Linked DNA regions of Callithrix jacchus. The protein of the gene in region 2 interacts with the protein of the main gene of each other region in a pairwise test. Links are inferred from orthologs where the notes say so. Each region holds a gene or a part of one and is shown on either strand. Other genes may lie near its edges. The genes, in order: CLNS1A, LSM2 and DNAJA1.

What was found.
Region 1: the proteins of LSM2 (region 2) and CLNS1A interact in binary tests that used the Homo sapiens proteins (3 or more experiments, as listed by UniProt). The link is inferred for Callithrix jacchus from reciprocal best matches to the Homo sapiens genes LSM2 and CLNS1A.
Region 3: the proteins of LSM2 (region 2) and DNAJA1 interact in a two-hybrid assay, tested with the Homo sapiens proteins (2 studies listed by BioGRID and IntAct). The link is inferred for Callithrix jacchus from reciprocal best matches to the Homo sapiens genes LSM2 and DNAJA1.

Annotation. Positions count from the first base shown.
Region 1 is NC_133511.1:62,962,262-62,966,014, forward strand, and holds the start of CLNS1A (methylosome subunit pICln), read left to right. Parts: upstream 1-867; 5' UTR 868-949; coding exon 950-1,074; intron 1,075-3,753. UniProt on the Homo sapiens protein: Involved in both the assembly of spliceosomal snRNPs and the methylation of Sm proteins.
Region 2 is NC_133505.1:39,307,177-39,310,929, reverse strand, and holds the start of LSM2 (U6 snRNA-associated Sm-like protein LSm2), read left to right. Parts: upstream 1-1,384; 5' UTR 1,385-1,484; coding exon 1,485-1,487; exon of another isoform or gene 1,488-1,619; intron 1,620-2,088; coding exon 2,089-2,156; intron 2,157-3,753. UniProt on the Homo sapiens protein: Plays a role in pre-mRNA splicing as component of the U4/U6-U5 tri-snRNP complex that is involved in spliceosome assembly, and as component of the precatalytic spliceosome (spliceosome B complex).
Region 3 is NC_133502.1:140,231,059-140,233,907, forward strand, and holds the end of DNAJA1 (dnaJ homolog subfamily A member 1), read left to right. Parts: intron 1-513; coding exon 514-732; 3' UTR 733-2,313; downstream 2,314-2,849.

The DNA.
Region 1 (3,753 bases), on a different chromosome or scaffold from region 2:
TTTGGGAGGCCAAGGCGGGTGGATCACCTGAAGGTCAGGAGTTTGAGACCAGGCTGGCCAACATGGAGAAACCCCATCTCTACTAAAAATACAAAAAATTAGCCAGGCGTGGTGGCGGGTGTCTGTAATCCCAGCTACTCGGGAGGCTGAGGCAGAAGAATCGCTTGAACCCAGGAGGTGGAGGTTGCAATGAGTAGAGATTATGCCATGCCACTGCACACCAGCCTGGGCAAACAAGAGTGAAACTTCGTCTCAAAGAAAAAAAAAAAAAAAGTTGGGGGTGGCCACAAGATCACATGAGCCAGTTTATCCATCTGGTGGTGGCAGCTGATCCATCAGGTGCAAGGGCCGATCTTAGGTGCAGTTTAGGGAGGGTCAGAATCTTGAAGCCTCCAGCTGTAATTTCTAATCTAAACCATAATTTCTAAAATCTTGTAGCTAATGTGTTAGTCCTACAAAGGCAGTCCAGACCCCAAGCAAGAAGGAAATTTGTTTTGGGAAAAGGCTGTCATCATTTGTTTTAAACTTTAAACTATAAACTAAGTTCCTCTCAAAGTATGCCCAGGAATGCACAAGGACAGCTTGGAGGTTAGAAACAACATGGATTTGGATAGGTCGCTTTCAGTGTCTCAACTATAATTTTGCAATGGCGGTTTCACTGTGACAACCTTGAGGTAGAGAGTCCCACAGAACTCTCGGTTATTTGAAGCCCAGAACCTCAGAAATGGCGAGGAAGAGAGGGAGGGCCGTCCCGCGGTCAAACAACTCGGTCTTAGCCGACCTCCGACGCTTTTCCTAGAATGTCTCATCTCTATGGTTGACGGGGCTCAGGTTCCTGGCCGACTGTTGTTCTTCCGGGGTAACTTCCTTTTCCGGGGCGGGCGGCGCTGTGCGTGTATTGCTGTGCCCCAACTCCCTCAGGGCCTGTGTTGCGGGATTCCCTGCTGCTATGAGCTTCCTCAAAAGTTTCCCGCCGCCTGGGCCGGCGGAGGGGCTCCTGCGGCAGCAGCCAGACACCGAGGCTGTGCTGAACGGGAAGGGCCTTGGCACCGGTACCCTTTACATCGCTGAGAGGTAGGGTTCCTGGTCCTCAGCGCCGGCCTCCTCCTCGCTGGCGCAGGAGGTGCGAAGGAGCCAGGCGAGGGGCGACCTAGTGGGCTGTTGGGAGCGGGGGCGCGTGCCTGGGACGCCTCATGGATACCTGTACTGGGTGGAAGACTCGGTTTTTCTGGCGCTCCTCCGGAGTCTTCCATTCTGTTTTCTCCGGCCGTAATTTCCCCTCATGGGTTGTGCTGCTTTTCTTTTTGCTGTTAACTCTCCTGTTTACGGGAGGTCTGGCGCCTGCGTTGCCCTTCACGCACGGTCTCGTTTTAAGGGTCTGAAGTGTGCCTGTCTTTCGGATGAACAGATGCAGGAAGTGGTCCCTTCTGCGGGATATGTAGTTTCAGAGCAGATTGTGGAGGACTTTGAAACTTTGGATACTACACAATATAGATTTTCTTCTGTAGGTATACTAAGGAGGAACACCTCTTCACCCGACACAGACAGGGGTCATATGCAGAGGGACTAGTCTCCCGTTTTGGGGTCCTGGAAGGAATTGCCCTTTTATTTGACCACCTGGAGCACTTTTGTATTTTCACAGTCAGATAGATCCTCCTTAAATACTGTAGTTGTAGAACTGAGGTCTCTGTTTTTGACTTGTAGTCCTCTTTATTTTGAAGTATGTAATGACACATTGAATCCTTCCTGTCCTTCAGATACCTGTTGCTTCCCCTTTTGCTCCATCACTTGTCTACAGGCAGAGAAAATTCTCTACTTTTAAGTGCTCATATAATTACTTTGGGACCACTTATAAAATCCAGGATAAAATCTACCAATGTTACTGTCAACTGATAAGCTGAATTACGTTTGCGAAGTCCCTTTTGCTATGTAATATAACATAGTCACAGGCGTGACACCAGAAAGTGAAGGTCGTGGGGCCAAAATTCTGCCTCCCAGAGAATCCAGACTACAAAAACTGTAAAGAACTGTTGCTTTAAAGGGAAATTTAGGCATTGATCAAGGCTTAGGCTTCAGGCCAGTCATTGAGGTAAGACATAAGGATGGGAGGAAAAGCAAGATTGATGTGATAAGCAGATAATGAGTTTGGTCAGGACATGTGTGGAATAGTTGTACACATGAGTGTGTTTTGGGCCGGGTGTGGTGGGTCATACCGGTAATCCCACCATTTTGGGAAGCTGAGGCGAGTGGATCGCTTTAGCCCAGCAGTTTGAGATCAGCCTGGGCAACATGGTGAAACTCAGTCTCTGCAAGAACTAGCCAGGCATGGTGGTGGCCTGTAGTTCTAGCTACTCAGGAAACTGAGGTGGAAGGATCATCTGAGCCCAGGAGGTGGAGGCTGCCGTGGGCGTTATTGTGCTCTGCAGTCCAGCCTGCATAACAGTGAGACCCTGTCAAAAAAACAAAAACATATGTCTTGGGAAAGTGATATTAAAGAGAGATGTTTGGGAGTCGTTAGAGAAAGTATTAGCGTATACTCATGGAAATGGATTGGTATCCCAGAAGAGAAGAGGACCAAGTGTAGAATCCTCGGGATACACCTGTATTAAGAGGTGGGTCACAGAAGAAGAAGGGACTTGAGAAAGTAGGAAGGAGCAGTCAGAAACAAAATCTGGAGTCTATATTGAGTATTGATAAGGAAATCTTTGATAATTGGGGAAAGCAGTTTCTTATAAGTGGTGAAAGATGGGGCACAGATACATTTTTAGTTCCAGGCATTCCTTTTTTATTCATGACATTTAAGTATATTGACACTTCTTTCAATATTATAACTCCTTTTGAGGAGCAGTCCTGTATTTCTTTTTGCATTTTGAAAAATTTCAAACCTAGCTGGGCACAGTGGCTCATGCCTGTAATCCCAGCACTTTGGGAGGCTGAGGCGTGCGGATCACAAGGTCAGGAGATGGAGATCATCCTGGCTAACACAGTGAAACCCCGTCTCTAAAAAAAAAAAAAAAAAAGAAATTTCAAACCTAAGGCTGGGTGCAGTGGCTCATGCCTGTAATCCCAGCACTTTGGGAGGCTGACGGGTGGGGTGGATCACCTGAGGACAGGAGTTCAAGACCAGCCTGGCCAACATGGTGAAACCGCATCTCTACTAAAAATACAAAAATTAGCAGGGTGTGGTGGCGTGTGCCTGTAATCCCAACTACTTGGGAGGCTGAGGCAGGAGAATCGCTTGAACCCAGGAGGCAGAGGTTGCAGTGAGCCAAGATTGTGCCATTGCACTTCTTCCTGGCTGACAATGAGACTCTGTCTCAAAAAAAAAAATTTCAAATCTAATTAACATTTTGCCACATTTATGTCTCTCTCTCTTTTTTTTTTTCTGAGCCATTTGAGAATTGCAGACCTGTTTTCCATTTCCTGTATCTCAGAAGAACGGGAACATTCTCTTGTATAACCACAATACAATTCTCACACTAAGGAAGTATAACTCATTTCAAGTTTTTATCTGTTTTTAAAAAATTCTTAGGCTGGGCAAGGTGTCTCATGCCTGCAATCCCAGCACTTTGAGAGGCCAAGATGAGCAGATAGCTTGAGCCTAGGAGTTCTTGACCAGCCTGGGCAACATGGCAAAACCCCGTCTCTACAAAGAATACAAAAAAAATGCAGAAATTAGCCAGTCATGGTGGTGTGTGCCTGTAGTCCCAGGTACTCTGGGGGTGGTGAGGTGGGAGGATTACTTGAGCCTGG
Region 2 (3,753 bases):
AGGCATGAGCCACCACGCCCAGCCAATTTTTGTATGTTTAGTAGAGACAGGTTTTCACCATTTTGGCCAGGCTGCTCTTGAACTTCTGACCTCATAATCCACCCGCCTCGGCCTCTCAAAAGTACTGGGATTACTTACAGGCGTGAGCCACCGCCTCTGGCCCTTTTTTCTTTTTTTCAACTTAATTTAAGATTCAAAACACTTATATGAAAAAATGCTCATCGTCACTGGTCATCAGAGAGATGCAAATCAAAACCACATTGAGATACCATCTCACGCCAGTTAGAATGGCGATCATTAAAAAATCTGGAGACAACAGATGCTGGAGAGGATGTGGAGAAAAAGGAACACTTTTACACTGTTGGTGGGAGTGTAAATTAGTTCAACCATTGTGGAAGACAGTGTGGCGATTCCTCAAGGATCTAGAAATAGAAATTCCATTTGACCCAGCAATCCCATTACTGGGTATATATCCAAAGGACTATAAATCGTTCTACTCTAAGGACACATGTACATGAATGTTCATTGCAGCACTGTTTACAATAGCAAAGACCTGGAATCAACCCAAATGCCCATTGATAATAGACTGGATTGGAAAAATGTGGCACATATACACCATGGAATATTATGCAGCAATCAGAAATTATGAGTTTGTGTCGTTTGAATCTGGAGAACATCATCCTCAGCAAACAGACACAAGAACAGAAAATGAAACACCGCATATTCTCACTCATAGGCGGGTGATGAAAAATGAGAACACATGGACACAGAAAGGGGAGTACTAAACACTGGGGTCTATTGGGGGGAAAAGGGTAGGGCCAGTGGGAGGGGGAGGTGGGGAGGGATAGCCTGGGGAGAAATGCCAAATGTGGATGAAGGGGAGAAGGAAAGCAAAGCACACTGCCATGTGTGTACCTACGCAACTGTCTTGCATGTTCTGCTCATGTACCTTAAAACCTAAAATCCAATAAAAAATTAAAAAAAAAAAAAGATTCAAAACTTTTACATTTTATGGTTTTAACCAATATAGAAAAGTGCATACTTCATAATCTTCACAAACTCCCCACAATTCTCGATTAGGAGTGTGTGTAAATCAGGAGGACTTGACGCTATGGACGACAGGATCCTGGAAAAGAACAGTATCCTTTGAGTTGAGGAGCTGAGTCCCGCCACCCGCCCAGCAGCCCAGGCCCGGGTCCGCGCGTGCGCAATGGGAGCCGGCCAGCCCGGGAGGAAGTCGGAATGCAGGAACCCCGCCCCTTTCCCGGCTTCCTCCTCCCTTCGGTTCTACCCAGAGTGCTCTCCCCAGCCACAAGTCGGCCGCGCTCTCCCCTTCAGTGCTTGGAGCTGTCTACGTCCTTTCACGCTGCGCCTGCGCGGCCCCGCCTCGCCCCACGCGCGGGCTCCCGCTTCGGTTTCCCCAGACCTGCTGGCGGCAGCCTGATCTTTTCCCGGTCCGGCCCGCTGCCCGCGGCGCCAAAACCATGGTGGGTACTGTGAAGTCAAAAGGTGGTGCCCTCGGGGAGCTCGGACGGTTGGGGCGGGGAGTCTGGCCTTTGTCCCCCTGGGCTGGAGTTTTAGGTCCTTAGTCTTGTGCCTCAAGTTCGTTGAGGAGATACCTGAAAGCAAATGGGAATTTTTTTTTTTTCCATGGGAGGTTAAAAAAACTCAACCCTGAGAGAGAGTCAATGGGGACAGCGGGAGACAGAAAAGTTAGACCTTAGAGCACTTAATCTGCCGGAGACCAAGCAGGCTTCCGGCGGGTGGGGGTGGGATATTTTCTGCAGTTCATTGAAAGGAGTGGGCAGGGACCCCAGGAAGGTGGCCGACTGAGAGAGCACACTTGGGCCGACGTATGCAGGGCAGAGCCTCTCTGGAACTTTAAGTGATGGGCTCAATGCAGTGTGTGGAATAATATAGGCTCCAGCCTTTCACCTCTGTCAGCCGATTATTCTTTCCTGTGAAGTTTTGAGAACTGTCAGAGATGCAGTGGGGTTCACAATACCAGTGTTTGGTAATACTGGCAAGGGACACTCCTCCCTACCATGTTCCTTCCCACATGATGGTTTTCCCCCTCTCACCCAATAGCTCTTCTATTCTTTTTTCAAGTCCCTTGTGGGCAAGGATGTGGTCGTGGAACTCAAGAATGACCTGAGGTAGGTACCTGTTCCAACAAGTCTGTTGGGGGTGGGTGTGCCCAACGCCCTGGAACCTCTTTAATTTGAGAACTATTTGAAGGCTGGGAGAGGTGGAAGATATAAGGAAGAAATAAATGGGTAGGGCTCAGTGGCTCAGTACTGTAATTCCAGCACTTTGGGAGGCTGAGGAGGGAGGATCGCTTGAGCCCAGGAGTTTGAGGCTGCAGTGAGCAATGATTACTCCATTGCACTCTAGCCCAGGCAATAGAGCAAGACCCCATCTCTAAGAAAAATTTAAAAATAAGTGCCTTGTGCCTTAAATTTACAGATAAGCTTGGGATTATGCTGTGTATTGGAAAACAATACAAAGCATTATATAGTTTAAAGAGTAAGTACTAGTAGCCAGGCTCCCTGGCTCTCGGGTTGGGCGAGGTGACTCATACCTGTAAGCCCAGCCTTTGGGAGGCCGTGATGGGTGGTCACCACGAGGTCAGGAGTTCAAGACCAGCCAGACCAAGATGGTGAAACCCTGTCTCTACTAAAAATGCAAAAATAAGCCAGGTGTGGTGTCAGGCGCCTGTGATTCCAGCTACTCAGGAGACTGAGGCAGGAGAATCGCTTGAACCTAGGTGGCAGAGATGGCGGTGAGCTGAGATTGTGCCACTGCACTCCAGCCTGGATGATAGAGTGAGACTCCATCTGGGAAAAAAAAAAAAAAGTAAATACTAGGCTGGTCATGGTGGCTCACACCTGTAACCTCAGTGCTTTGGGAGGCTGAGATAGGAAGATCACTTGAGTCCAGGAGTTTGAGACTAGCCTGGGCAACATAGTGAGACCTCTATTTCTACAAAAAATTTAAAAATTAGCCAGGTGTAGTGATGCATGTCTGTAGTCCCAGTTATTAGGGACTAATCCCAGCCTGAGGTGGGATGATCACTTGAACCCAGGAAGTCGAGGCTACAGCAAGCCATGATTATACCACTTTACTCCAGCCTGGGTGACAGAGGGAGACTGTGTCTCAAAAAAGAACAGGCCATAGGATGGGCATGGTGCACAGTGGCTTACACTTGTAATCCTAGCACTTTGGGAGGCTGAGGTGGGAGGATCACGAGGTCAAGAGATCTAGATCATTCTGGCCTATATAGTGAAACCTTGTCTCTACTAAAAATACAAAAATTAGCTGGGCGTGGTGGCCCGCACCTGTAGTCCCAGTTACTAGGGAGGCAGAAGCAGGAGAATCATTTGAACCCGGGAGGTGGAGGTTGCAGTGAGCCAAGATTGCACCACTGCACTCCAGCCTGGCGACAGAGTGAGACTCCCATCTCAAAACAAAAAAAGAACAGGCCATAAACAGCAAATGTTATTTCTACAAAATGAGAAGCACCCATTAGGAAGAATATAGACTCTCTGATAGAAGGTTCTACGGGGCTAGAAGGACAGGGAGAAGTCTCTCAAAAATACAGCATTTAGTCTAAGTCCTGAAATAAGATTAAAATAAAAGATACAAGTGGGAGGAGATTTAAAAGCAGTGCAGGCATTAGTTTTCTGTTTATCCTTTATTTTTTTTATTTTTATTTTTTTTGAGACAAGAGTCTGACTCTGTTGCCCAGGCTGG
Region 3 (2,849 bases), on a different chromosome or scaffold from region 2:
GCAATTCTGCCTCAGCCTCCTGAGTAGCTGGGATTACAGGCACCTGCCACCACACCTGCTGGTGTTTTTAGTAGATGGGTTTCATTTTTGAGTTTTTAGTAGACAGGTTTCACCATGTTAGCCAGGCTGATCTCAAACTCATGGCCTTGGGTGATTTGCCCACCTCGGCCTCCCAAAGTGTTGAGATTACAGGCCTAAAAATATCTTTGGATAAGAAAGAACTACCCTTTTGAGAGTAAGAGTAGCTTTCTTAAATACCTCATGAGAAGAGTTAGACTGTTTCAGGACGGGTTTTAGTATTCAAAGTTAGTTTGCTGGATAGAACAATGGTGGTTATAAGTACAGTTTTATTTAATACAATCTTTTTTTAATGAAGCCTGACTTTTGGTCATAATCCTTGAACTCTAGTTGAGAGTGCGCTATGCACTGTGTTTTTCTGGGGAAAGTGAATCCATGATACTCTTAAGGAGCTAATGATGAAAACAGATTGAACTTTAAAAATTTCTTTTGAAGGTAAACTTCCCTGAGAATGGCTTTCTCTCTCCTGATAAACTGTCTTTGCTGGAAAAACTCCTACCGGAGAGGAAGGAAGTGGAAGAGACTGATGAGATGGATCAAGTAGAACTGGTGGACTTTGATCCAAATCAGGAAAGACGGCGCCATTACAATGGAGAAGCATATGAGGATGATGAACATCATCCCAGAGGTGGTGTTCAGTGTCAGACCTCTTAATGGGCCAGTGAATAACACTCACTGCTGGCATTTTATGTGCAGTAGTGAATGAGTAAGGATGTAATCATAATATGCTCACTACTTGCTCTTGTTTTTGTTTTAATCAACTATAGTAGTGTTTTAAAAAGTTAAATGAAGAATAAAGGCAAATATAAAAGCTCTGACTGCCCTGTATGTATGATGACTTCAGTGTGCAAAATGAAGTTTAATACCTGTAAAAAGTACTTTAAAAAGAAGTTCCCCTAGCATTGCTAGGCCAAACCTTGTAATTGACTTCAGCTATGTATGTGGACAAGCTTAGACTGAAATGCTAGGTATATGTATTGGCTTCAGTGTATGACCCTTCATTGTTAAGCTCTGAAAGTAAAACTGTACTTAACTGGCAATAAGAAAATTGTAGAGAAGTGTTGGTCTGTATAGTTCTTGTATTAAGTGGGAATCATTGTAATGCCTCTGCATTTATTCTATTGCCTCAACTGTTACTTGAAGATGGCATAATATATAATTTATCCTGTGGTATCAGTGATAAAATGATACCTTTCTGTAGGAGGGGTTTATCATAATATGCTGCTTCTTGAAGGCTTGCACTTCCAAAATTGTTCCTTCTGCTGTGCCATCCATATATATATATATATATATCCATATATATCTTGACCAGTCCTGGTTATTTGCTCCCCTCCTTGTCTGTGGACCATGATAAGCCTGAGTAGTGACTTCAGAGCTGGGTAACGTAGAAATTAAAGTGAAAAGACCTTTACATGGAGAAGTAATTTGCATGCGTAATATAGGAAGGTGTTCTTTAGGTATGTTACAGGATTACTTTAAACCATTTGACTTATGCTCCAAAGTAACTAATGTTGGTAGTATAGCAAATTATGAATAGCTTTAATTGTATGTTTAAAAGTCTCATATGTTCACATGCTTAAATCTGGGTATCAGAATTTAAGCAATTCTTGAAATGTATTGTTTCCTTAATATACTAATTACAAAGCATCTCCAATGTGTGTCACTACAGGCTTTTTTTTCCCAGATCATCAGTTTTGGCTTTTAACTAAGATACATAACTTGATTTTAGCTAGTCTAAATGAGTAATATAAAAACACTATTGAACTATACTTTTTTTTTTTTTGAGACAGAGTTTTGCTCTTGTTACCCAGGCTGGAGTACAATGGCGCGATCTTGGCTCACCACAACCTCCACCTCCTGGGTTCAGGCAATTCTCCTGCCTCAGCCTCCTGAGCAGGTGGGATTACAGGTATGCGCCACCATGCCCAGCTAATTTTTTTGTATTTTTAGTAGAGACAGGGTTTCACCATGTTGACCAGGATGGTCTTGATCCCTTGACCTTGTGATCCACCCGCCTTGGCCTCCCACAGTGCGGGGATTACAGGCGTGAGCCACCGTGCCTGGCCGAACTATAATATTAAAAAGGATGGAGAGTAAAGTGGAGGGCTGAGTAATGAGCCAAGAAGAGGGGGCTTAGAAAACTTTGCAAACATTGGAGTATGAGAAAACAAGTTCTTAAGAACACAAGTTTAAAAAGGAGAAAAACTGTTTAAAAAATAAAGTTCTCAAACCATCCATGTTTGTCAATTTCCTTTTTGTCTGTGCCAGACAGCCACAGCTACCCTAAAATTTGAGAGATGTGAAGCAGATGTTCAGGAAAGTATAATTTGATCAGTGTTGAAAAAGCACTTGTGACCCTTTCACTGAGCTTATATCCAAATTCTAAAAATTTCTCAACCTCTATATTAATATATTTAATATGTTTAGGGCCAGGCACGGTAGTGGCTCACGCCTGTAATTCCAGCATTTTGGGAGGCTAAGGCGGGTAGATCACCTGAGGTCAGGAGTTTGAGATCAGCCCGGCCAACATGGTGAAACCCATCTTTACTAAAAGTACAAAAATTAGCTGGGTGTGGTGGTGCGCACCTGTAGTCCCGGCTACTCTGGAGGGTGAGGCAGGAGAATTGCTCAAATCCAGGGGGCAGAGGCTGCAGTGAGCCAGGATCACGCCATTGCACTCTGGCCTGGGTGACAGAGCAAGACTCTGAAAAAGTATTATTTGTCAGTCTTATGGGAAACACATAAAAACCAGATACAACTTCACACCTACT